Linked DNA regions of Sus scrofa. The protein of the gene in region 2 binds, or shares a complex with, the protein of the main gene of each other region. Links are inferred from orthologs where the notes say so. Each region holds a gene or a part of one and is shown on either strand. Other genes may lie near its edges.

Region 1 (3,500 bases), about 20 Mb from region 2:
TCACATTTTACAGAAGAGCCCGAGGTTAGGGAAGTGGAAGGGCTTGCCCAGGTTTCAGGTCTGGGGCCGAGGCTCTCCCTGCACTCAGGGCGGGAAGCAGGCTCCAGGGGCCGCTGGCGATTCAGGGCTGCTGATGCTTTTTCTCTGTCTGGTGATAGGCGGTCCAGGAGGAGGAAAAGGCACCACCTAAGAAGTACGCCATCAGACCGCCCAGGGACCTGAGCAGCAGGTTTGAGCAGGAGCAGGAGATGAAGAGGCAGAAGGCGATCCAGGCTGAGGAGGAGCAGCGGCTGAGGCAGGAGGAGGAGCGCCTCATGGTGGGTCCCCCGTCCTCAGCCCTCAGCCCTGGAGCTCAGCTCTGGAGGAGGGGCTGCTAGGAATGGGAAACAGACACAGGTCACCGAGGGACGTGCTGGTGGGCCCCCAGGTTCAAATCCCCTCCTCCATCCTCAACCACCCCCCACCTCTGCTGGGCCATGTGGGAATCCCCAGCCGTGGTCAGCAAGCTGCTCGTGACAGATTTTTAAAGGCAGAGAGCTCAGCTGTCTGGGCAGTTCGTTCTATGCTGCGCAGTTCTGGGGTCCTCCTCATTCCAGCCGCTCAGTGAAGAAACTTAGGTACGCTCTGCATCCATCCTCCCAGCCATCCTCCCATCTCGCTTCCATCCGTCAGTCCTCCCATCTCTCTTTCCATCCATCCATGTTCCCATCTTTCCTTCTGTCCACCCGCACATGCATCCTCCCTCTTACCTTCTTTTCCTTCCTCCCTCTTTCCTTCCATATACTATTTATCGAGGGTCTACCAGGGTCCATGTTGCGGAATGCAACAGAGAACATGGCAGAGTGACCCTTTCCCAGAGGGATGGGGATAAAGAAACCACAGGGTACCTCCTCTCTTTCTTTGGGTGAAATCTCACCCAGAATCACAGCACAGAAAGCCAGTACATCCCAGATACCCTCGAGTTCCAAAAGGCAAGTTTGTAAACCGCAGCTGGAGCCAGATCCTTGCATTCTGTCGGCAAGAAAACAGGCTCAGGAGTTCCTGTCGTGGCGCAGTGGTTAATGAATCCGACTAGGAACCATGAGGTTGGGGTTCGATCCCTGCCCTTGCTCAGGGGGTTAAGGATCCGGTGTTGCTGTGAGCTGTGGTGCAGGTTGCAGACGCGGCTCGGATCCTGCGTTGCTGTGGCTCTGGCGTAGGCCGGGGGCTACAGCTCTGATTAGATCCCTAGCCTGGGAACCCATCTATCTGGCTCATGGTCACCCACCTTTCACAGGAGGAGGAGAGTGCAAAGACCGACCCCCTGCACGGCCTGCGGGTGCACTCCTGGGTGCTGGTGCTGGCGGGGAAACGCGAGGTGCCTGAGAGCTTCTTCATTGACCCGTTCACTGCACGCAGCTACGGCAAGGATGATGACCACTTCCTGGGGATCGAGAGCCTCTGGAACCACAAGAACTACTGGGTCAACATGCAGGACTGTTGGAACTGCTGCAAGGTGCTGGAGGGGGCCTGGGCGGGTGTGGCGGGCACAGTCTGTGGGGAGAGCTGGCTACTAGGCCAGGAGGGCTTCAGACTTTCCCTGTAGCTGAGTGCCCAGGGCCCACTCCTTCCCCCATGTGTAACCACTCCAATGGGGTTATCGTCGCTCCTTTGAATTGTATGTACTTAGGAGTTCCCGTCGTGGCGTGGTGGAAATGAATCCAACTAGGAACCATGAGGTTGCAGGTTTGATCCCTAGCCTCACTCAGTGGGTGAAGGATCTGGTGTTGCCATGAGCTGTAGGTTGAGTGTAGTTTGCAGACGCAGCTCGGACCCGGTGTTGCTGTGGCTGTGGTGTAGACTGCCAGATGTAGCTCCAATTCGACCCCTAGCCTGGGAACCTCCATATGCCGCAGGTGTGGCCCCAAAAGCAAAAAACCAAAAGTCTGAATTATATGTACTTAGAGAATGTAGATTTTTAGCGCATTTACGCTTTTTAAAATGTTGTGTTTAAGTGCTACATATATGCAGAAAAATGCACTCATCCTACATGTCTGGCTCCATGAATTTCCATTTAAAAACTCAGTGCCAGAGTTCCCATTATGGCTCAGTGGGTTAAGGACCTGACATAGTCTCTCTGAGGACATGGGGTCTATTCCTGGCCTCATTCAGTGGGTTAAGGATCTGGTGTTGCTGAAAGCTGTGGCATATGCCATAGAAGCAGCTCTGATCTGGCATTGCTGTGGCTGTGGCATAGCCCTGCAGCTGCAGCTCTGATCTGACCCCTAGCTAGGGAGCCTCCATATGCTGTGGGTGTGGCTGTTTAAAAGAAACACAGGAGTTCCCATTTGTGGCTCAGAGAGTAAAGAATCCCACTAGTACCCATAAGGTTTTGGGTTTAATCCTTGGCCTTGTCCAGTGGGTTTTAGGATCCATTGTTGCCGTGAGCTACAGTGTAGGTTGCAGACTTGGCTCAGACCCATGTGGCTGTGGCTGTGTTGTAGGCCGGAAACTACAGCTCCAATTCAACCCTTTACCTGGGAACTTCCATATGCCATGGGTGTGGCTCCTAAAAGACAGACCAAAAAGAAAAAATCCCACAGTGCCACAAAAAAAAAAAATGCATTGCCACTTATAATTCAAAATACATGCACACATTTGGGGGGAGGTCATAACTGGATCCCAGGGGACTTTCTGGGGGTGGGGACAAGATTCTGTTTCTTGAATCAGGGAATTCTTGAATTCAGGGAATCAGAGTGCACCAATTCATGGAAATTCATTGAGCTGTACACAAATCGAAAGGGAGACAGGCTCCAGGCTCCAAGGTCTGTGCGCTTATTTCCAAGTTCCTCTGTTTCCAAGAGGCCAGTTTTCCAAAGACAGGTGTGGGGCCCTTGGCTCCCAGCGCCAAAATGACCCCATCCAAGGAACTGCTGTTGCCCACATGTGGGAAGCAAGCAGAATGGATGCACCACCTCAGGTGCCTCCATCTTCAGTGACGAAGACATGCCCACCCTCAGCCTCCCTCTGCCACACAAGATGGGCAGACTGCCCTTCCCTGGAGCCCAGCTGGTAGCTGTCGTGGCTGTCAGAGCTCTCTGAAGGATAACAGCCCTTCAGAGGCTGCTGCAGCCCTCCTTTGCCCTCCTCTAGGCGGAAGGGCGGAAGGTCCTTCAGTCTCCCCCAGCACCAGGTGGAGGAAATTCATATCAGGGATAATAGAATTTATAAAGATGGAAGCAGGGCCTGGTGAGAAAGTGAGGCCAGAGGGGTACTGGGTCACCAAGTGAGGGCATGAGAAAGAGATCAGGACACTGGCTGTCACTTTTACTGCCCAATGTTGTGGGAGCGGCTGCTTTGTCCTTCAAAGAACCTTGAAATGGCCTTGGGGATGTGGAGCGTTGCACAGAGAGAGAGCAAGACACCCCAGGCTCCTGGGACAGGGTCGCTGTCCATTCATTTATGCTTTTTCTATAGAAATAGAATGTTAAGTTAAAACAGCACTGTGGCTCAGGGGTAAC
Region 2 (3,500 bases):
GAGAAGGCAGAGTGTGTCCGGGGCTGTGCTCTGTGCCACCCTCCCCGAGTGCCTGTGGTCTGCAGTACATGCGCATGTCAGTGTCACCTTCTGGTTTTTTAAAGAAATTTGTTTATTTTTAAACTGGTTATTTTCTTTTTTGTAACTCGGTGAATTTTCTCACGTTTATAGCTGTGCAGCCATCCCCACCCCAGCCCACCCCCCACCCCAACCTGTCTCCTTTGGAAATCATAAGGTTTTCAACGTCTGTGAGTCCGCATCTGTTCTGCAAAGAAGTTCCCTGTGTCCTTTTTTTAGATTCCACGGATGTTACCATATGATGTTGGGGTCTCATTGTCTGACTGACTTCACTTAGCATGGTAATGTCTAGGTCCATCCATGTTGCTGCAAATGCCGTTCCTTTTTAGGGCTGAGTAATATTCCATTGTGTATATGCACCACATCTTCTTGATCCATGCCTCTGTCGATGGACATTTAGGTTGTTTCTGTGTCTTGGCTGTTGTATATAGTCCTGCAGTGAACATTGGAGTATGTTTATCTTTTTGAGTCATGGTTGTCTCTGAGTAAATGCCCAGGAGTGGAATTGCTGGATCAAATAATAATTCTATTTTTAGTTTTCTGTGGAATCTCTATACTGTTTTCCATAGTGGTTGCACCAATTTACATTCCCACCAACAGTGTGAGAGGGTTCCCTTTTCTCTACACCCTCTCCAGCACTTATTGTCTGTAGACTTTTTAGTGATGGCCTTTCTGGCTGGTTTTTTTAAGTCTTACTGAACTGCTTTTGATTTACAGTGTTGAGTTCGTTTCTGCCCGAATAACATAGCGGTTCCCTCTTCCTCCAGGACTGGATGAAGCAGATCCTGGGGATTTGATCCTAGTTAGAAGGATAAGGTGCACCAAGCTTCCAGCACAGTCCTCTTTTCTTCCCAGCAGACACATGTGTTTTTACAGGTGTGGAGGACATTCTAGAAGGAGTCACCAACGATGCTCCCATGGTGGCTTCTGGAGGTGGGGTTGATGTTTTAAGCTCCTCAGTCTGGATTTTTTTGTGGCGCACAGTTAAAAGGAGATGAAAGGATGCTTGCCTGGATGGATGGGCAGTTGGCTCCTGTACTCACTTTAGACCTGAGTTCCAGGATCTGGGGCTGGCAGGGACGTGGACCCCTAAGAGGCCCCCTGCCCCACATGCCCTGGATCTTGTGTGGGGATGACGGAGGGCGTGGTGTAGCCCACGGCGCAGACCTGGGACAGCGCTGGCCTCCAGCTTGTACCGGGGACAGCTCCCCAGAGGTGTGTCCTCCTGCCTCCCACAGTGTAGACAGCTGCCTCCCTTTAATTCTGTCAGGGTGAGTGGGGCTCAGGCAGTGTAGATGACACAGATCCCCCCCGCCCAGGGCTGGCACTGGTGAAAGAAGTGTGTCGTGGCCCAGGGGCAGAGGCGGGAGGGGACTTCTTGCCAGTGAGAGGTGCGTCCTGCAGGTGCAGCAGGAGCGGGATGAGCTGTACCGGAAGTTCACCGCCGCCATCCTGGAGGTGCAGCAGAAGACAGGCTTCAAAAACCTTGTCTTGGAGCGCAAGGTGCAGGCGCTGAGTGCTGCCGTGGAGCAGAAGGAGGTGCAGTTCAGTGAGGTGCTGGCAGCCTCCAACCTGGACCCCTCGGCTCTGACCCTCGTGTCCCGCAAGCTGGAGGTAGGCCCCAGATGGGCTCCTGGGCAGGGCTGCCAGCACCCCCGGGCCCCCACAGTGGGCCGGTAGGGCTCTGGTCGGGGCCCCACGCTGTGGTCCAGCCTCTCGTCCCAGCTGAGGCTCTCGTTAACCTCGTGGAGGGGCTCACGGTTTCCGCGCTCCCAGGCCTCTGTGCACCGTCAAATCCCTGGGCTCTGTGGCTTTGCCCTTGTCTCTTTCCCGCCCCTGCTCTGAGCCCAAGTCCACACTGTCCGCTCCAGCTCAGCCTGTCAGGCCCTGGGTCTCTCAGGCCTCTTGGATGGCCTCGTCTCCTGAGCTCTCACCTGAGGCCACTGCCACCTCCTGTCTGGAACAATAACATGTGCTGGTCTAGGCTCTGGGTGGGGGACACAGGGCTGTGGGCGTGCCTTTGTGGTGGCTGCTGGGCAAGGCATCCCAGAGGGATGGGTCTGAGCAGCAGCTAGAGCATCTGTTCACCTGCACGTCCAGTCATTTACGGCAGTTCCTCTGCCGCGGCCGTCCAGGGTACGGGGCACAGCAGTCAAAGGACCCGAGAGGCCTCGGTGTCCATGGGCCAGTGGATGAGATGAGAGTCAAGACAACTCAGCAGGCAGAACCTTGACCGTACCTGCTAGTGACCTTACCTGGAGCTGGGTCGTGCCCCTCCGCTCCCTGACCTGGGTGGGAGGTGTCACAGAAAGTACAGGTGATGCTGGCCAGGGGGCCTTTGTTGCTTCCAGGGAAACGTGGCCTGGCTCTGGGCAGTGGACAGTCTCCAGGGAGAGGCCCTCTGCGGGACGGCCAGCCCGTCCCAGACACGGACCCTTCCAGGGGGACAGCCCTGTTGTCCCTGTTCTTCCTTCCCAGGGAAGCAGATGGGGTCAGAGCCACAGGGAGGTGGGCAGGGTTGGGGCAGGGCGAGGCCTTGCTGCCGGTGGAGGAGGGCCTGGGCCCGAGGCGTTGTCGCGCCTGTGGTTCTGGCTGGTGTTTGCTCCCAGGGCAGTGGTGGGTCCTGGCTCAGTGGGTGCCAAGCTCTTGGGGTCAGGGCTTCTGCAGCCACGAGGGGGCCTCGTCTGGGCGGCAGCACCACAGTCTGAGTCTGGGGCTCATGTCTGTCCTTGCCGCTCACAAAGGGGAGAAGGGCTTTGCCCTCTCCTGTGGGAAAAGGCAGCCGGTCCTGCAGCTGGACGAGGCCCTGTGCCGCCAGCATCCGTGATGAAGGGATAAAAACCGCTCCCCGGAGTTTCCGTCGTGGCTCAATGGTTAACAACCCCGACTAGTATCCATGAGGACACAGGTTCTGTCCCTGGCTTCACTCAGTGGGTTAAGGGTCCGGCGTTGCCGTGAGCTTGTGGTGTAGGTCGCAGACATCGCTTGAATCCTGCGTGGCTGTGGCTGTGGCGTGGGCTGGAGGCTGTAGCTCTGATTCAACCCCTAGCCTGGGAACCTCCACATGCCATGGATGTGGCCCTAAAAAGAAAAAAGAAAAAAAAAAAAAAAACCCAGTCCTGTCCCCTGTGGTTATGGCAGCTGCTCCAGGACCTGGCAGGAGAGGCTTGAGGGCTTTCCTGGGATGCGGCTGGCAGCCCGGATGGCTCCAGAGGGAGGCCGGGCTGCCGCCCCCCCCTCCACCGGGCAGTTCCTCACGGAAAGCAGCTCTGTGTCCTGGGGACCTTCCCACGCCAGCTGCCCCCTGTGTGGACGCCCGCGTGGGGAGCCAGGCGCTCTTCCCTGTCTGCCTTCTTCCCCGCAGGACGTCCTGGAGGCGAAGAACAGCACCATCCAGGACTTACAGTACGAGCTGGCGCGCG
Region 3 (3,500 bases), on a different chromosome or scaffold from region 2:
AGCCCTCTGGGTCAGGACGAGGCTTTGGGCAGAAAAATTGCTTAGAGGCCCATTGACTCTCCATCCTCTACCAAGCAGGGGCCAGGATCTCCACGCTTCTACTCTGGTCGGAGGTGGGAGGGGACCCCAGGAGCCTCGCCCACTAGAGCAGCACACCTGCCCTGAAGCCCGGAACAGCCAGGCTTGGGGGGAACCGAACAGGGCAGGCAGAGCCAGAGGACAACCCTACACGCAACACTACATACCCCCAGCAGGAGCTGCAAAGGCAGCTTTTCTCTCCAAGAAGCTTTTCTCTTTTCTCCCTTCCACCTACTGCAGGCTCCCTCCTCCCCCTGGGCCGCAAGTGCACACTCACTGGTACTTCTCCAAGGCTGTGTACAGAACGTCCCAGAGGCTCAGCGTGGCAGCAGGGATAACCGTGGTCAGCGCCCTCCAGTACTCCGAGTCCTCTGAGGCATCGCGCACACCCTTCAGCAGCTTTGCTGGTGCCCGAAAGTCCCTGAAAGGCAAGAGCGCAGGTGCCATCCTCTCCAGCGCGCCCGACGCGGCGCCCGCCCCCCCACGGACAGATTGATTTTCCACCTGCCGCCTTCCCGCTCCGCTCTGCAAGTTCATCAGATCCTGAAGAGTCTCAGAAAGAACACCTGCTGTCATCAATGTTCCTGATTCTTGGTGCCCTTGTCACCTTTGTGAAAGCATCACTGGAGTTTCCTGCAACCTCTTTCTCTCAATCGATTTTCCTCGCTGGCTTTGTAGCTCATTGCTCTGCCCATTTCTTCCACGAATGCAGCCACAACAGCCTTCGAAATGTGTTTTCTCCTCCGCTTCCCCTCTAGGATGGCCTGCATCCAGGCTCTCCCCGCCCACGGGGACAAACCTTCCCACTGCTCTCCTTGTGTCCAGCAACAGCCCCTCCCTCCCCACCACCCAAGTCATCTTTCTAAAATGCAAGTCTGCTCACTGCTCCCTCAAGGCTTGAGATCTCTTTCTGGCTCTGGTTCACCAACAGATAAAGACCAAGATCTTGGGCAATTTGGGCCAGGCTCTCAAGATCTGGCCTTGCTCATTTGACCCAAGCTGCACCCGTGGCATATGGAAGTTCCCAGGCTAGGGCACGAATCAGAGCTACAGTTGCAGGCTAACGCCACAGCCACAGCCACAGCCACACAGGATCCACACTGAGTCTGCCACCTACACCACAGCTCACGGCAACGCTGGATCCTTAGCCCACCGAGCAGGGTCAGGGATCGAACCCACAACCTCCCAGACACTCTGTCAGATGCTTAACTCACTGAACCATAATGGGAACTCCTGTCCATGGTTTTTGGCACCAGCTGCTTGTCAGGCCGCCTTTAGAGGCAGTGCCAAAGCCAGTGCTGGCTTCACAGCTTACAGGGCTCTTCCATATGAATTTTCTTCTTTATTCCTAATGCCAAAGCTTGCGGCAACATTGGATCCTTAACTCAGTGAGCGAGGCCAGGGATCGAACCTGCGTCCTCACAGATACTATGTCAGGTTCTTAACCTGCTGAGCCAGAGGTTCTTGAACGAGACCTTTCCCTGTGCTGTGACACCCTGAAATGCACTCCCCCCACCTTGTCCACTGAAGCAAACACTGCAGGTGCCATCTCCTCCCAAGACCCTCTCTGACCACCTCTGGTCACCAGTGGAGGTGACCACTTCCCTTTGAGCAACTTGACACCCTGTATATGCTTTGACCACTGTTCCGATCACAAGGTGTCATCCCCATAGGACTACGCACACACACAGCAGACCCCAGCAGATGTTTGCTGAATGAATGGATGACGAATGAACACATGCAAATCGATTCTACACTCCTTTCCTTCCCTGTAATGTCCATGGATTCCTCTCACCCTCCTTCTGGACGTCCCTGTACTCAATCCCCCAAGTTTGGGCTCAGCAGCCTCTTCTTCCCTCCCCGGCACCGGCTGGCCCCCATCCCCTCCAGCTTCCCCAGTTCCCGGGCTGAGTCTTCCAGCCCTGCAGCCCACCTGGGCTTCCTCAGACCCATGACAAAGGCCTCCAGAATCTTGAGGACATCATTGGGGTGGATGAGCACGGGAGAACGGGGGGGCTCCTTCTCTGGTGGCTCTCCTTCCCGAGGCTTCCCTCCACGAGGCTTCCCTCCCCTCCGCCGTGGTCCAGCAGTTCCTCAGGCTCCAGGGCTGATACCAGGCTTGTTTGCTCCTGTAGGGAAGGCACAGATGCCAGGGGCGGATCTGGAGAGACGTACAGGGTAGCCGTGGGTGGGGGGCACACAAGCAAGAGTGTGTGCAGACAGACAGAAGGAGAAAAAATGGAGAAAAGTTTACAAAAAGTTATAGAAGTTACAGAAAAGATGCAGAGGGAGGAGTTCCCATTGTGGCCCAGCGAAAACAAATCCGACTAGGATCCATGAGGCCCGGGGTTCGACCCCTGGCCTCGCTCAGTGGATTAAGGATCCGGCATTGCCTTGAGCTGTGGTGCAGGTCAGAGATGTGGCTCAGATCTGGTGTTTCTGTGCCTGTGGCTGGTGGCTGCAGCACCAATTGGACCCCTAGCCTGGGAACCTCCATACACCGTGGGTGCAGCCCTAAAAAGACAGACAGACAGACAGACAGAAAGAAAAGATACAGAAGGAGATATTTACACAAGGAAAGAAATAGTGAGGAGAAAGCGAGAGGGCAAAGGAAGTCAGGACCAGGCAGAGGCAGGTAGGGGCTTTAAAACCATGATAATGTTCTCTTCCTAAATCCAGTTCACAGGTGTTCATTTTCTTAATATTCATAAAGCTTACATGGTATAAATATCTCCACTCATAATACAAATTCAATTTTAATTTCTAAATTAAAAAAAAAAATCCTCCTCCTCCAGCATCGAGGTTCCGCGAGTTTATTTCTTACAGGCAAACCAATATTTATTTGTTTGCTTGTTTGTTTTCCTTTTTCAGCCGCACCCATGGCATATGCAAGTTCACGGGCCAGCGATGGCATCGGAGCCACAGCCGTGGAAACACCGCATCCTTTAACCCACTGCACCAGGCTGGGGCTCAAACCTGTGCCTCCACAGCAACCAGAGATGCTGCAGTCAGATTCTTAAGCCACTGTGCCACAGTGGGAATTCCAAGTTTCCAATTTTTTAATTAACACTGTAGAACATTTTTAACAGGATGACTTCCTCAGCATAGCCAATTAATTACAACCAAGATAGACATTAAAGAGTTCCCGTCGTGGCTCAGCAGTTAATGAACCCGACTAGCATCCCTGAGGACGCGGGTTCGATCCCTGGCCTCACTCAGTGGGTTAAGGATCTGGCAGTGCTGTGGCTGTGGCATAGGTCGGTGGCTACAGCTCCGAATAGACCCCTAGCCTGGGAATCTCCATATGCTGTGGGTGTGGCCCTAAAAGACACACACGCACACACACACATGTTAAGATAGACATTAAAAATGAGCCCAGCTTTGCAGGAAAGTGTTACAGATCAAATGTTTGGAACTTGGTG
Region 4 (4,111 bases), on a different chromosome or scaffold from region 2:
AACCAGCAAGGCAATGCTTTGCGCATCTCTGCATCCCCAGGACCTGGCTTGGTGCAGGGTGCACAAAAGGAGGCTTGGTCAATGAGTGAGAAGGAAATAGAAGGAAGATGGGGATGGAAGAGGAGGAAGGAAGGGGAGAAGGAGTCAGAGAGATGCTGGAATGGGAGGTGGAGGGACACTGGGGACAGGTGGTACCTTGAGGGTGTGGCACGCCTTGATGGTAGCCGCCAAGGAGTGACAGTCACGGTAGGTGAAGAGGAACAGGTTCCACTCGAAGTTCATGCCACAGTCCTTGACACCGTACACTAGGTCCAGCTCCTCCAGATGGTCCAGGCCAGCCACCAGGTCCCTCAGCTGGTAGTGGTCCATGGCGGGCTCCTCCATCTCTCCCTCACTGCCAGAGTCTGACTGATCCCCGCCATGGGGCGGGGACGGGAGCTGCACGGGTGGAAGGAACTGGTCCACCCGGATGGTGCGGACATAGTTCCTGCAGAGCGGCAGCAGGCTGAGGATCACCTCGGGGTCCGTGGTGCTGGGGATGAAGTGCTTCAGCAGGTTCTCCAGGTGCAGCTCAAAGAACATGCGCTTCCAGCTGCCGCCGTGCTCGTCCACGTGGCACACGGGCCAGCGCTGCATGCAGCAGCGGCGCCAGTAGTTCTCGTCGTCAATAAGGTTGGCAGTCACAGCCAGTGGCAGGTCAGGGGGCAGGTGGCTCAGGACCTTCTTCTGATGCTCTGGGAGCAGCTGCTTCAGGATAGGGTTGTCTTTGGGAACAGAAGCAGGGAAAGTAGGACTCACAGTGTGGGGGATGCTGCACATGGTGCCCTGGCCTGGGCCTGTCTGGATACCTGGACCTGTCTTCAGGGAGCCTTAGCCTAAGAGGGGAGGCAGCCTTTACTCTCATGGGAGCTCCGTCTGAGGGAGATACTGCCCCTAACTCTGGGGTGTTCCTGTTTGAAGGGGGACATCTTAGCATCTGGTCTCAGGGAACTCCCAGTCTGAGGCAGAATCACAGGTCCACCCCTCAGTTATTCCTTAATCTGGTAGAGGAGACAATCCTTGACTCAGAAGCTCCCAATTTGATTTGACTCATTCATTATAAAACAAACAAGGTTTTCTTTGTCTTTTTAGGGCTGCATCCACGGCATACAGGAAGACTCCCAAACAAGTTTTTTTGAGCACCCACTATGTACCACAAGCTTCTCTAGGTGCTGAGGATACACAAGTGAGCAAAACAGGAGTTCCTGTCGTGGTGCAGCGGAAACGAATCCAACTAGGAACCATGAGGTTGTATGTTTGATCCCTGGCCTCCCTCAGTGGGTTAAGGATCCGATCCAATGTTACCCTGAGCTGTGGTGTAGGTTGCAGATGCGGCTCAGATCTGATGTTGCTGTGGCTCTGGTGTAGACCGGCGGCAACAGCTCTGATTAGAACCCTAGCCTGGGAACCTCCATATGCCATGGGTGCAGCCCTAGAAGGATAAAAGACAAAAAAAAAAAAAAAAAGAGTGAACCAAACAGAGGAAGCCACTCCATCTTATGGACAGAGGCAGACAGTAAACGAGTCACATGAATGTACTATAGGTCTGGTGGTGAGAGATGCTGTAAGCAAAATGATGGCTCTGTCCTCAGAGAGCTTTCTACCCAGTAGGAGAGGCTGGCAACTGATCTTTGAGAGCGATGAACAGAGGCTAGAGTACAGAACAAACCCAGAACCTAAGGATGCTGTGGAAGACTCCAAGAAAGTGGAGGATGGTCAACCAGGGAGGGCTTTCTGGAGGAGGAGGTAGATATGGTTCGGGCTGGGCTTTGTCAGGGAGAGTGGGAAAGGTGAGGAGGGGCCAGAGACATGGAGGGCATGGTGTGTGTGTGTTGGGGGCTGCTGGAAGGGGACAGGAGGAGAAGCTGTCCTGGTCTCCAGGGCGGGGGGAAGGGAAGTGTTGAGTGGGAATGAGGACGCTGCGTGGGAGAGCAAGGGCTGCCTGAGGACCCAGCTGTGAGGCCTCGCCGGCGGCAGTCCAGCCTACCCTACCCCACTCCTGGCCTTCTCTCTTTCACCCCAGGCAGGACCAGACTCACTCTGAAAGTTCTTGACAATGTGCTGAATGCAGAGCTCTGTGAGAAGGGGCACGATGGCCAGTGACCATTCGGTATCCTCAGCGATAATCCTGCGCATCCGATGTACACCAGCCCCAGAACTCGGGCCCTTGGGCTTCACCGGGGGTGCGATGGTTGGGGGCTTTGAGGGCTGTGGGCCTGTGCTTGAAGCTTGGCCGGTGGTGGAGGATCGGTCCTGGGTGGAGGTTGAGGACCGGCTGGGGATGGACAATGAGGGTGTTGTCTGGGTTTCCTGCATGCTGGGGACTGGCAACACAGGGACAGGTGGTCCCTTGGTGATGGCCTTGTGACCGGGAGTTTCTCAGACAGGCTGGTCCTTGATGCTGGTGGGAACCTGGAGCAGGAGGAGTTGGGTTGTTACTTTGGAGGCATTTACCAAGAGATGTAGTACAAGGTGGTTCTTAAGGATCAGTCTCCGGATTAGAGTAGATCCAAGTATAAATCCCACTAGCTGGGTGGCCTTGGGCCAGTTGCTGAAACTTGTTGAGTTTCAGATGCCTCCTCTGTGAAGTAAGGACAACAGTTACTGATAAGATGATTGGGAGGAATGAATAAAATAATGCATCCATAGAGGCATAATATATACTGTGACACATGAGATTATAGCAAGCAGCAGCCCCAGAGTTTAGACAATAATAGTGACACGGCAATTACAAGAAACTGCTGGAGTTCCTGTCATGGCTCAGTGGTTAACGAATCTGACTAGGAACCTTGAGGTTGCAGGTTCGATCCCTGGCCTTGCTCAGTGGGTTAGGCATCCGGCGTTGCTGTGAGCTGTGGTGTAGGTTGAAGATGCACCTCAGATCCTGTGTTGCTGTGGCTGTGGTGTAGGCCAGCGGCTACAGCTCCGATTTGACCCCTAGCCTGGGAACCTCCATATGCCACAGGAGCGGCCCAAGAAATATCAAAAAGACAAAAAAAAAACCAACAAAAAACAGAAACTGCTGTATGCTGGACACTCTTTTTAGTTTTTTTTTTTATGCATATCAGCTCATTTGATGCTCATAAAAGCCTTTTTGAGATAGGCACTCATATTAGTCCCATTTTTCTGATGTGAAAGTGAAGTACAGAGAGGTTAATTACTTGTCCAATGTCACACAGCTTGTAAATAACAAGGATGGATTTAAACTCAGTCTATCAAGTTTGGCCAAGTGACCCAAGTATGAAAAAGAACTATTTAGTTCAAAACCCTCCCTACACCAAGTATTTTATAGAACTGCGACTGCCTGACCAGGAGGAAGGGATTGAGAACAGCACTGGACAATAGATGTATAACAGATGCCAAAACTCAAGCCACATATACTATTTAAAAATGCCTTTGAAAAAAAAAGGCGGGAGTTCCCATTGTGGCTCAGCAGAGCCGAATCCGACCAGGGTCCATGAGGTTGTGGGTTTGATCCCTGGCCTTGATTATTGGGTTAAGGATCCGGTGTTGCCATGAGCTGTGGTGTAGGTTGCAGTCTTGGCTTGGATCTGACATTGCTGTGGCCGTGGTATAGGCCGGTGGCTACAGCTCTTAATTCAACCCCTAGCCTGGGAACTTCCACATGCTGTGGGTGCGGCCCTAAAAAAAGCAAAAAAAAAAAAGGTCTTTGGAATTTCCACTGTGGTTCAACGTTAACAAACCCAACTAGTATCCTTGAGGAAGCAGGTTTGATCCTTGTCCTCTCTCAGGAGCTGTGAGCTGTGGTGTAGGTCACAGATGATGCTTGAATCTGGCATTGCTGTGGCTGTGGCATAGAGCAGCAGCTGCAGCTCTGATTTGATTCCTAGCCTGGGAACTTCCATATGCCGTCGGTGCGGCCTTAAAAAAAAGGAAAAAAAAATGTCTTGTACATACATTTAAAAAGTAGAGAAAACAAGTGAATTTTATATTTAATCCAATATGTCCAAAATATCATTTACATATGTAATCAACATAAAAATTATTAATGAAATATTATACATACATATATTTTAATACTAAGGCTTCAGAATCTGATGGCTAGTGGCTA
Region 5 (3,893 bases), on a different chromosome or scaffold from region 2:
CACCTGTTTATCAAGTTCTAATCCACAGGGACTAGTGGCTCAGAACTAGATATTAGTACAACAATTGCTTTTGCTCAAATTGTTCTTTAAAACTTAAGTTTTGTGAGTGCAAATAGATTAGCCAAAAAGCAATATGGTAAGAGACAAAATTGGCAATGCTTTTGTTGTCTCCCTGCTTAGTTTGATTACATTTTAATACACCCAGGATTTGATTCAGATGAAACAGTTTTTTAAACAACTGATGTATCATGGCCTTCTCTGATTTCATTGCCTTACCGGTGAACCCAAATTTGACTCAAAGCATATGATACCAACCTCCTATTAAGGACTCGGTCTCCAAACCTTTGCAACCAACAACTCAATGTAACAGAGCCATAGCAGGCAAAGTTGCCCCTTTATGGACAAACATCATTACTCCTTTCTTTCTTTTTTTTTCTTTTTCTTTCTTTCTTTCTTTCTTTCTTTCTTTCTTTCTTTCTTTCTTTCTTTCTTTCTTTCTTTCTTTCTTTCTTTCTTTCTCTCTCTCTTTCCTTCCTTCCTTCCTTCCTTTCTTCCTTCCCTCCCTCCTTCCTTCTTTCCTTCCTTCCTTTCTTTGCATTTTAGGGCCTCACCAGCAGCATATGGAGGTTCCCAGGCTAGGGGTCCAGTTGGAACTACAGCTGCTGACCTATGCCACAGCCACAGAAACATCAGTTCTTTTTTTTTTTTTTTTGTCTTTTTGTCTTTTTTGGGCCGCTCCTGCGGCATATGGAGGTTCCCAGGCTAGGGGTCGAATCGGAGCTGTAGCCACCGGCCTACGCCAGAGCCACAGCAACGCAGGATCCGAGCCGCGTCTGCAACCTACACCACAGCTCACGGCAACGCCGGATCGTTAACCCACTGAGCAAGGGCAGGGACCGAACCCGCAACCTCATGGTTCCTAGTCGGATTCGTTAACCACTGCGCCACGACGGGAACTCCAGAAACATCAGTTCTGACCTGCATCTGCAACCTACACCACAGCTAATGGCAATGCCGGATCCTTAACCCACTGAGCGAGGCCAGGGATTGAACCTGCAACTTCATGGATACCAGCTGGATTCGTTTCCACTGCACCATGAAGGGAACTTCTCATTACTTCTTTGTGATAATACAGAAGTTGCCAATTACTCATTTCCTTTTTAGTACTAGTCTCAAGATCCAAACCAACTTCCTAGGAAAATCCTTCTATCTTGGAAATTACATTATTTTCAAGTTAGATATACTTTTTTTTTATGCTGCAATAATGTGATTTGGCTGTTCAGATGATCAAAATATATTTTTCCACTTATATTTGGACTTCCTGCACAGTTCCTGGCTCAGAGCTCCCCCCCCAAACCTTGGAATTTCCTAAGTGATAAGAACAGTAGAAAGATCTTTTATCATAATATTTGGTTTCTTCTTCTTTTTTTTTTTTTTTTTTGTCTTTTTGCTATTTCTTGGGCCGCTCCCGAGACATGTGGAGGTTCCCAGGCTAGGAGTCGAATCAGAGCTGTAGCCACTGGCCTACGCCAAAGCCACAGCAACGCAGGATCCAAGCCGTGTCTGCAACCTACACCATAGCTCACGGCAACGCCGGATCGTTAACCCACTAAGCAAGGGCAGGGACGGAACCCGCAACCTCATGGTTCCTCCTCGGATTCGTTAACCACTGCGCCACGACGGGAACTCTTTTTTTTTTTTTTTTTTTTTTTTTTTTTTTGTCTTTTAATACTTGGTTTCTTATCATCAGCTCCTGAAAGTGATTCAGAGCCATAAAGTGAAATGAGTGTCCTATTTCTAACGAGACTCTTTCCACTACAACCGAATTTATGTTAAAGAAGTGATTTTTGGAAAGCACCTAAAGATGGGGGGGCTGGTCGACTAGAGAATCAACCATGAATAGAAGGGTGGAACTTTTTAAGTCCCATCCTCTGATTTTTGAGAAATGAGGGTTTGGAGCTTGAATCAGTGACCTACAGCCAATGATTTAGTCAATCATCCTATGTAATGAAGCCTCTATAAAAACCCAAATGGGAGCTTCTGAATTGATTGAATGCACAGAAATTTGGGGAGAGTGATATGTCTGGAGAGAGCATAAAGCTCAGCATCATCTCCCCATACCTTGCCCTATGCATAGATGGTTGTTTTTGAGTTATATCCTTTTATAATAAACAAGTGATCCAGTAAGTAAAATGTTTCTGAGTTTTGTGAGCAGCTCTATGTGGTAAGTTCAGAAGCCCAGATGACAATCTGGACTTGCCATTGGTATCTGAAGTGGAGGGTGGTCTTGTGGGACTAGGCCCTTCATCTGTGGAATGTAATGCTTTCTCGAGGTAGATAATGTCAGAACTGAGCTGAATTGTAGGACGCTCAACTGGTGTCTGAGAATTTCTTGGTGGTTTGGGGAACACCACCCTCTATAGCTATGTTGGAATTGGGGTCCCAAACAACTTTTAGATGCCTTCTTTGCTTCCTTCCTCCAAAGAAATAGAGTAACAGTATTCTTAACCATTTTGGTCATGGACACCTTTGCGAATTTGCTGAAAGTCACACACACACACACACACACACACACACACACACACACAAAGTATATACAGAACTGCATGAATCTTCAGGGAGTTCATGGGCCTCTCTGAAATTCATCCACATATCTAAAGGGATTTGTGGACTCTGGGTTAAGAACTCCACTTCTGGGGCAAAGCCAGCCATCACAGGTTGCCTGGTTAGGATATTCCCTCATCAAAGAAACTGGAAATATCAGGCAGAAAGCTAACTCAGAAGTGCAATAGAGTGCACTCAATGTTCCCACACACAGTTTCCTTCCCCATTTGCTTTTCTAGTCATCTCAGAATTGGCTGAACCAGAGAACTACTGAACTACTTAAGTTTTAGGATCCTGATCATCAACACAATTACCCACACCTTCCCCTCCTCAGGAAGGCAAGAGATATGTGAACTCAAGTTGTGATAGTTCTTTAACTCCAAATATGATCTAGTTTGAGAATTCTGCCCTAGCGATTACATCTACAACTAGCTAATGCTCATCACTGTTATTACAGGGAGGCAGCTAAGAAAATGTTGTCTATGGTTCAGCAGCAGGAGTATAGTGCTGCTGACCCTCCACACTGGTTTGGCTATGATTTTGAAGGCAAGCCTCTCACAGAGGAACAAGATATAAAACCACTTAAAGATTCAGAATTGACCCTGAATGAGTCAACATACAGCAGTGAAGAGGAAGTAGCAGCCTAAACAGGAAGAATGGAAAAAACCTAGAACTTGGCAACTTCACTTGATGCAAGTATTTTTACTAACTGGATCTTAACAATATAAATAAGCAGCAAATCATCTCCAGATTCTTATTCCAGCTACAAATGTTTCTAAATACATCTATTAGTTCTTCTGTCTAATAATCATGATTAAAAAAAAGCCAAATTAAGTACTGCACTATGTAAATTTTCCACTTAAATTTACCTTAATCAAACCAATAGTTTTGATGAGGTTCTCAAGTCTAATGTTACATTTGTACATTTGTACAGTTGTACATTTTTGACAAGGAATTTAGAAGCTTCTCTTTAGAAAAGAAAGCAAATAGCCATATAAATCAGACTAAATGTTTAAATCAGGGCAATGACTTTAAGGTAAGGATTGTGAGGATTTATTATAAAAGACATAGACAAATATTTTTTAAAGGAAATGAGGCTTTTTAGTGATTTCCAGATACTTAACAGGACAGAATTAAATGCCAATTAACCCTGGGCTCATCTCAACATTTGACTTAATGGAGGAAATTAAATAGAAATAGGAATTATTGGAGTTCCCATTGTGGCACAGTGGAAACGAATCAGACTAGGAACCATGAGGATGTGGTTCAATCGCAGGCCCAGCTCAGTG
Region 6 (4,248 bases), on a different chromosome or scaffold from region 2:
GAGCTGTAGCCACCGGCCTATGCCAGAGCCGCAGCAACTCGGGATCCGAACCGCGTCTGCAACCTACACCACAGCTCACGGCAACGCCGGATCGTTAACCCACTGAGGAAGGGCAGGGACCGAACCTGCAACCTCATGGTTCCTAGTCGGATTCGTTAACCACTGTGCCACGACGGGAACTCCTCCATGCTTTTTCTTTAATGCCCTTTATTGCGTTCAATAAGTATTTTTAGTTCACACTTCTGATTTCTCTGTTGATTTTTAAAAATATTTTAGAGTTTTTTCTTAGTGACTGATTTAGGGATTATAATGTGCATCTCAATTTATTGTAATCTACTTTGGAATGCTAAATATTTTCTGTTTGATGTGATGAGTCACTGTTATCAAACCCTCTTTTAATTATTTAAACATGGTTTCCTGTAGCTCTTTGAACAAATTTATAATAGCTTCTTTGAAGTCTTTGTCTGCTAAAGCCAACATCTGGGGACACCAAGAGACAGTGTCTGTTGATTGCTTTTTTCCCCCTGAGTATGTTTACACACATCTCACAATTTTTATGGAACACTAGAAATTTAAGAGGGAAGATTATTTATTTGGAGAAACTCTGTATTTTTTTCTTGCTAATGGTTGTTTTTCTCATTTTTGTTTCACTTGGGTGTTTCGTAATTATTTCCTGGATTCAATTTGTCAAGTTGGTCTCCTCCACAATGTGCAGCCACTGATGTTTCTGCTTATTTTTTTTTTCCATATATGTGTGTGTGTGTTTTCATTTTTAGGGCTGCACCTGGCTTACGGAAGTTCCCAGGCTAGAGGTCCAGTCAGAGCTGCAGCTGCCAGGCTAGGCACAGCCATAGCAACTTGGGATCCAAGCTGAGTCTGCAGACTACATCACAGCTCACAGCAAGGCTGGATGCTTAACCCACTGAGTGAGGCCAGGGATCAAACCCACATCCTCATGGATACTAGTTGGGTGTAACCTGCTGAGCAACAATGGGAACATCTCCATATTTTTTATTTTTAAGCCTGGCTTCCTTGGGGTCGCCTTGGCATCCACATAGTTTAATATCTGGCCAAAAATCAGTTAGAGGTGTGCTCAAACTTTGAGCCAGTAAGGCTTCTATTCTTCACTGACAAGGGCAGCACACACTTAGCATGTACTTCTATAAGGCTCCAAAGGCCAGGGATGTCTAAGTGGTTTGGGCTAGCTCTGGTCTCTGCTACACCTGTGCATAACCTCTACTCAACCAGGATATAGAGAAAGTTCATCAAGCCCTCTATGGCTGTCTTATTCCCCAGAACTCTGAGCTTTCTCAGCCTATTGTTTGCAATAAATAGGACTACAACCTTGGACTGCTAGAGCTGCTGGCCTCCCCTGTTCTCTTCCCACCAAGATTGCCAGTTTAGCCTGCAATCCTCCAGATCAAGGGAGCCCCATCAGACAGTGACAGTGAAACTATTCGTTTTCCAGGGCTACTTGCCCTGGTTGAATTATTATGCCAATAGAACTGGGGGTTGGGAAATCAGAGAAGTCTTACATAAGTACAGCACAAACTTGAAGTTCAGTAGTTTTATGAATAAAAGCTCTCAGTTTGCTGTATGCCTTTGGTTGATTTGCAGAGTTTTAAAATAGCACTAGATAGTTTTATCCAGCTTTACAGCTGTTTCTTTTCTTTTTTTTTTTTCTGGCAGTACCCAGCAGTGGCATGTGGAAGTTCCCAGGCTAGCGATAAAACCCATGCCATAGCAGCAACCCGAGCTGCTGCAGTGACAACACTGGATCCTTAAGCTGCTGAGCCATAAGGGAAGTCCTATAGCTGCTTTTAAAAATTATCATTGTGGTAAAATATACATAACATAAAGTTTACCATTGTGACCATTTTATTTTATTTTTTTTAAATATATATATTTTTTATTTTCCCACTGTACAGCAAGGGGGTCCATTGTGACCATTTTAAATTCAGTGGCATGAGGTTATTACATTCACATCTATATGCATCCATCACCACCATCCACCTCCAGAATTTTTCATCATTCCAAACTGAAACTCTATACTCATTAAATAATAACTTCAAAAATAATAACTTCTTGCTTCCCCATTCCTCTAGCCCCCATTAAACCTCTGTTTTACTTTCTACCTTGGTTAATTCTCACAACAAACCCTTTGTCTTAAGTATGTAAATAAAATCATATATTAGGTACCCAGCCGGGAGTGAAGTTCTAAAGTTAGCATAGACTTGGTATAATCAAAATTATCTAAACATTCACTTTCATTGCATGCTCACCCTGGGATGTACAGCCGTTGAGTGGAAAGTAAGAGGACTCATAAACCACTCTCTGACCCTTAGCACCTGTGTCTGACTTGAAAGTAATTAAACTTGATTTGACTCCACTTGACTAGTATCATCCACGTTTTACGGATGAGGAAGTGGGACCATGAAGTGGACAAGTGGAGATCCAGACTGGGGCCAGTGCTGGAGAGCAGGGTCCTGAGGCGGGGACAGGTTCGCCGGTGGGGGACTACTGATTCCTAAGAAAACCAAAGGATAGAGAGCTCCATTCGACATTCCCCCCCCCTCATCAAATCCAGCCCTTCCCCACGGGGTCACTCACCTGCTCCAAGGGCTTCAGTTTTTCTACTAAGTGATTACCACTTAGGTGCCTGCGTTGCTAGGTTACTCGCCAACCTCAGAAGGCGGGACTCGGAGTCTGATTGACTTTCCTTTTCGCCATTCCATTCCTTATTCCGCTCAGTTCGCTCCACCTCCTTTGGACTGACCAATCAGAACCACAACCTCTCTAACCCTCCACCAATTGGAAGGCCCGAACCCTCCGGGTTGGACTCAATGAGTAAGGAGGGGAGAATGGGTAGTGGAAAGAGGCGGAGTTTCTTCGTCCCGCCTCTCCTCGAGGAGGCGGGCAGAGAGTTCTGCATTAACAGAGGGCAAGAACTTGCGAAGGACTTGAGGCTTGACCAGTCAGAGCGCACCATGACAGCTTGATAGCCAATAGGCCGCAGCAAACGGGGAATGGGGCGGGGCCGGCGGGGGTGGAGAGGACAGTAGGCGGTGGATGGGAGAGCTGGCGCAGCTGCTGTGGTGGCGGCGGCTGAAGTGGCGGTGGCTGCGGCGGCTGCTGCAGCTGCAACAGCTCCGGGCTTGGGGCTTTGGCGGCGGCGCCGGCGGGCTGGGCTGCGCAGTGCGGACCCCGGCGCGCGGTCCGGGTTGCCGGGGCGGCGCGTGTAAGAATCCAAGGGGTGCGAAGGGTGGCCTGAGGGAAAGGGCAGGGGTCAGGGGTCAAGGGGCTCGTAGTGCGGGGTTGCGGCTGGGCATAGGGATGTGGGAGGCGGGCAGGCGGGCCCAGAAGGGCTGTGGGGAAGTCATCGATGGGCTTCTCTCCCTCCAGCCCTGGTCTGGGGGCCCCCGCATGGGTATAGCAGGGGAAAGCCCGGGAAGGGGAGAGGGGTCGCAAGGCTGCGCACGTGGAGCAGGAGCTCGCACTCCTCTTCGCTCCCCTCCTCCCTTATCTGCTCGTTTCCCAGGCGCCCTCAGGCTACCCACCCCTCTAGAGACTCCTAGATGGCGGGATGGCTGCTGGCCCTCTTTCCCTGGGACCTGTCCTAGGGGTGACCCTTCCCTTCTGGGTACTCGGTAGAGTGGGTAGCAAAGCCCGCAGGAGCGCTGGGATAGGACTCAGGAGTCCTGCACTGTGACCACAGGCAAGTCCCTTCTCTCCTGTGGGCCTCACTTTTCCCTCTCTGTGAAATGATGGGCTCGAATTCGGATGAGGGAACTGGTCTGGTAAGAGATGAAGGGTAATGGTTAAGCAGAGAAGGTCCCAGAATTCAAACTGCCTGGGTTTAAATCTGGGCTCTATCACTTCCCATCTAAGCCTTAGTTTCCTCACCTGTGAAATGGAGACATTAGCTTTATTCCTTAACAGCAGCACTATTCACCTTTCGAGCTACATATTTCTAGGTTCTGATGGGTCTCAGCTGTGTATTGTAGGTTGTTTTGGTGCATCTCTGGCCTCTGCCCACCAGTACCCCCATCCCTAGTTGTGACCATCAAAAATTTCTCCATACATTGCTAGTGTCCCCTGAGAGGCAAAAATCACTTCATCTGAGAGCTGCAGAACTCATGCATCCATTGCAAGCAAGCAGTCATGCAGTTAAAATAAACATAGTCATACAGTTAAAATAAGTTATAATAAGCTATTATAATGATGATAAAATTAAGAAAAACCTTGGTG
Region 7 (3,500 bases), on a different chromosome or scaffold from region 2:
CCAATTAGACCACTAGCCTGGGAGCCTCCATGTGCTGCAGGTGCAGCCCTAAAAAGACAAAAAAATAAAAAAATTTTAAAAAACCCTGTTGCAAAAAAACCCACAATTTTATCTTGTTAACTGAGTATCTTCCTTTCTTATTTGTGATTCTTACTGAAGGAGACAATAGGAAGGAAACACTAGTCTCTTCTGTACTATTTTTTTAAAAATTTTTTCCATTATAGTTGATTTTGTATTATATCTTAACTAGCTTAATTTAAGGATTAGACATTTTCAATACATTGAAAGGCTTAGTTCCTGGATTTCCACTATCTCTGCTTTCCATAAGTTAAAAAGGAAATGAATTTGTTTTAAAATTCCTATAATACCCATTAACTAACATTTTAAAACTACCCCAAAACTCATAGAATGTTAGCACTGGAAGGGACCATATGCATCATTTAGTTAAAACTCCATCACAACCTACGAATGAGAAAACTAAGACCAAGAAAGTGAAATAAATTGCTCATAGTACACAACTAAATCATAAAGGTTTCCTGATTCCAAATCTAATGTCCTATTGAAATTTTGTATAAACTTTAAAAACTTTAATAAAAGCTTTATGAACCCAGAATATACATATATTAACAATAATAATAATTTTTAAATTGTAAGGAGCAATTAAAGGGAAATTTAATTTGCTAGTTACAATAAATATGGACATCTTTTCTGTTAGATGTGAAAACCAATTTATCCTTTCATTTACATAGAAATTTTATTTTCTTTTTTTTTTTTTTTTTTTTTCTTTTTAGGGCCGCACCCATGGCCTAGGGGTTCCCTAGGGGTCAAATTGGAGCTGCAGCTGCCAGCCTATGCCACAGCCACAGCAATGCCAGATCCGAGCCATGTCTGTGACCTACACCACAGAGCACTGAGTGAGACCAGAGATTGAACTTGCTTCCTCATGTATACTAGTCGGGTTCCTTACCATGGAGCCACAACAGGAATTGCCTGCAGCAATTTTCATTTATCATAGAATCGGAAATAAGAGTATATTCTGTGCAAATTATACAATGTAATTTTGTTAAAACTTAATATGTGTTTGTATGTATAAATTTCTCTATTTTACATCTACAACCTAAGTAATTAAAATTTATAAAAGCTTTAAGAATTTATAAGGATTTTGCTTACTATCAAGTTGAGTTTTTTTATCTCAGTGGTGCTTTGAGGAGGAATCCAGAACATCATTGAAAATGTAATGGCTGACACCATGATATGGCTGGATATTCAGAAAAGCATACTATAACATGTTTAGCAATAACAAAGTCATTTTAGATTAAAGCAATGTCGAGAGGGTCCAGTTAAAGGCCCTCCCCCTAGTTTTCAGTTAGCTTTTAGTATCTGAGAAATACAAGATAGGGGAGATAATGCAATTACTTAGCAGATTGCCTCAATATATATATTATATAGTATTGACACTGATTTAGCTATGGAGGTTCCCAGTCTAGGGGTCTAATCAGAGTTGTAGCTGCCGGCCTACGCCAGAGCCACAGCAACGCCAGATCCGAGCCGTGTCTGCGACCCACACTACAGCTCACGGCAACACCGGATCCTTAACCCACTGAGCAAGGCCAGGGATCGAACTCACAATGTCATGGTTCCTAGTCAGATTCGTTAACCACTGAGCCATGACGGGAAATCCTCTATAGGCCTTTTAGAATAATGCCAACAGGAGTTCCCGTCGTGGCTCAGTGGTTAATGAATCCAACTGGAAACCATGGGGTTTTGGGTTCAATCCTTGGCCTTGCTCAGTGGGTTAGGGATCCAGCGTTGCCATGAACTGTGGTGTAGGTTGTATACGTGGCTGGGATCCTATGTTGCTGTGGCTCTGGCATAGGCTGGTGGCTACAGCTGCGATTCCTAGCCTGGGAACTTCCATATGCCGAAGGAGTGGCCCAAAAAATGACAAAAAAAAAAAAATAGAATAATGCCAACATATTGGAAGAAATGGATTTTCTGACTGGTAATGCACCTAAAGCTATGTCTGTTTCACTCTATTAATTGAGAGTAAGCATCTCAGATATTTACTGTAGCCCTTCACCTGATATGAAGGTGTTATTTCCCAAGTTAAACTTAATGGCGTAGGTACTGAAAATGATGGGGAAACAAAAAGAAAGGAAAGCTAAAATTAAGTAATAGTGAGTGTATCTACCATGCTGCTGCTTGGTCTTTTTTCATACTGAACTGGCATGATATAGTTTAGAATGGAGAGCTGGTCTATGGTGTCCTCCAGAACTGCAGAGATCCTCAGCACATCTACAATGGAGAGTGGCTTTGTGATTTCTGGTGTGATTTCTCTGGCTGTCTCTTTGGCTGTTTCTTCAATTTCTTCTGCAGCAGTAGGTGGTTCCCCTGTGACTGACACTGTCACCTCAGAGTGCCAAACATCTGGAGGAAGATTTGAGGTTTCCTGTTGACCTCTAAAGAAAGAATAAAAGAAAAAATAATTCAGCCGCTAAATGTTTAAAAATTACTTAAAAGCGCAGGCAGCATGTAGATTGGCTCCTGCAAAGTCCATGTTATCATATAATATAACCAACATAATGAACAAAAGTAGTTTGCATCTGATTCTGCTAAATACTTCACAGTGACATTCTCACCTACCAAAGGCAAGTAACTTCATATTTAATAAAGATAAAGATATGTAGCCCAGGCTATTTGGCTATGCTGACTATGCTTAATCAATTTGAACTTGAGCCAAAATAAACTTTTTTTCTAGCAACATCTTTAGATACTAACCAAAATTGTCTCGATTATTGGAAGATGAAACACAGCAGCCAGTCTCCAAGGTGACCCATATGATTTTTTTCTTGTACTCCTGCCCTTGTCTAGTCTTCCCCACATTGAATAGGACTAACCTATGTAACTAAAATGATACTGTGGGTTCCAAGGCTAGGTGATTTTGAGACATTAAAGCTTCTCCATCACTTTCTCATAGCGCTGTGTGGGAAGCCACTTTCCTTGTCATGAGGACACATAAGGAGTCCTGTGAAGGGTTCCTGATGCTAAGAAGCTAAAGCTTCTTGCCCACAGCCAGCATCAACTTGCCACCTCTGTAAAAGAGCCATCTTGGAGGTGGATCCTCTAGACCCAGTCAAGTCTATAGATGATTGCAGCCCTGGCCAACCTCAAATTCTGAGAGACCCCAAAACAGAAGCAACCACTTAAACTGCTCCCAAATTCTTGACCCACAGAAACTGTATAAAATGATAAATGATTTACTTTCAGTCACTAAGTTTTGTTACACATCCATAGGTAAATAATACAGATATTTAACATAAGGCATTTTTTTTGCTTTTTTTTAGGGCTGCACCTATGAGATCTCCCTAAGGCATTATACGTGAATATATGTGTGTGTGTGTATAACATATATTTACATATAATTATATAATTATTTATTATATATATAATAAATTGGAAATTGGAACATACTCTTCCATTCTTCTTGAATTAGTTTTGTT

Evidence for each region.
Region 1: GAS8 (region 2) and DRC7 share a complex: the UniProt entries of both Homo sapiens proteins name them as parts of the nexin-dynein regulatory complex. The link is inferred for Sus scrofa from reciprocal best matches to the Homo sapiens genes DRC4 and DRC7.
Region 3: GAS8 (region 2) and DRC1 share a complex: the UniProt entries of both Homo sapiens proteins name them as parts of the nexin-dynein regulatory complex. The link is inferred for Sus scrofa from reciprocal best matches to the Homo sapiens genes DRC4 and DRC1.
Region 4: GAS8 (region 2) and TCTE1 share a complex: the UniProt entries of both Homo sapiens proteins name them as parts of the nexin-dynein regulatory complex. The link is inferred for Sus scrofa from reciprocal best matches to the Homo sapiens genes DRC4 and DRC5.
Region 5: GAS8 (region 2) and FBXL13 share a complex: the UniProt entries of both Homo sapiens proteins name them as parts of the nexin-dynein regulatory complex. The link is inferred for Sus scrofa from reciprocal best matches to the Homo sapiens genes DRC4 and FBXL13.
Region 6: GAS8 (region 2) and IQCD share a complex: the UniProt entries of both Homo sapiens proteins name them as parts of the nexin-dynein regulatory complex. The link is inferred for Sus scrofa from reciprocal best matches to the Homo sapiens genes DRC4 and DRC10.
Region 7: GAS8 (region 2) and IQCG share a complex: the UniProt entries of both Homo sapiens proteins name them as parts of the nexin-dynein regulatory complex. The link is inferred for Sus scrofa from reciprocal best matches to the Homo sapiens genes DRC4 and DRC9.

The regions. Positions count from the first base shown.
Region 1 is NC_010448.4:19,613,413-19,616,912, forward strand, and holds part of DRC7 (dynein regulatory complex subunit 7), read left to right. Parts: intron 1-158; coding exon 159-317; intron 318-1,276; coding exon 1,277-1,495; intron 1,496-3,500. UniProt on the Homo sapiens protein: Component of the nexin-dynein regulatory complex (N-DRC) a key regulator of ciliary/flagellar motility which maintains the alignment and integrity of the distal axoneme and regulates microtubule sliding in motile axonemes.
Region 2 is NC_010448.4:92,487-95,986, reverse strand, and holds part of GAS8 (growth arrest-specific protein 8), read left to right. Parts: intron 1-1,482; coding exon 1,483-1,692; intron 1,693-3,442; coding exon 3,443-3,500. UniProt on the Homo sapiens protein: Component of the nexin-dynein regulatory complex (N-DRC), a key regulator of ciliary/flagellar motility which maintains the alignment and integrity of the distal axoneme and regulates microtubule sliding in motile axonemes.
Region 3 is NC_010445.4:112,583,665-112,587,164, forward strand, and holds part of DRC1 (dynein regulatory complex protein 1), read right to left. Parts: intron 2,208-3,500; coding exon 2,060-2,207; 3' UTR 2,012-2,059; intron 500-2,011; 3' UTR 356-499; intron 23-355; exon of another isoform or gene 1-22. UniProt on the Homo sapiens protein: Component of the nexin-dynein regulatory complex (N-DRC) a key regulator of ciliary/flagellar motility which maintains the alignment and integrity of the distal axoneme and regulates microtubule sliding in motile axonemes.
Region 4 is NC_010449.5:39,285,527-39,289,637, forward strand, and holds the start of TCTE1 (T-complex-associated testis-expressed protein 1), read right to left. Parts: upstream 2,801-4,111; 5' UTR 2,356-2,800; coding exon 2,079-2,355; intron 765-2,078; coding exon 196-764; intron 1-195. UniProt on the Homo sapiens protein: Component of the nexin-dynein regulatory complex (N-DRC) a key regulator of ciliary/flagellar motility which maintains the alignment and integrity of the distal axoneme and regulates microtubule sliding in motile axonemes.
Region 5 is NC_010451.4:102,976,487-102,980,379, reverse strand, and holds the end of FBXL13 (F-box/LRR-repeat protein 13), read left to right. Parts: intron 1-3,061; coding exon 3,062-3,251; 3' UTR 3,252-3,393; downstream 3,394-3,893. UniProt on the Homo sapiens protein: Substrate-recognition component of the SCF (SKP1-CUL1-F-box protein)-type E3 ubiquitin ligase complex.
Region 6 is NC_010456.5:38,695,647-38,699,894, forward strand, and holds the start of IQCD (IQ domain-containing protein D), read right to left. Parts: upstream 2,801-4,248; 5' UTR 2,611-2,800; intron 1-2,610. UniProt on the Homo sapiens protein: Component of the nexin-dynein regulatory complex (N-DRC), a key regulator of ciliary/flagellar motility which maintains the alignment and integrity of the distal axoneme and regulates microtubule sliding in motile axonemes.
Region 7 is NC_010455.5:134,581,623-134,585,122, forward strand, and holds part of IQCG (IQ domain-containing protein G), read right to left. Parts: 5' UTR 3,480-3,500; coding exon 3,472-3,479; intron 2,460-3,471; coding exon 2,192-2,459; intron 1-2,191. UniProt on the Homo sapiens protein: Component of the nexin-dynein regulatory complex (N-DRC), a key regulator of ciliary/flagellar motility which maintains the alignment and integrity of the distal axoneme and regulates microtubule sliding in motile axonemes.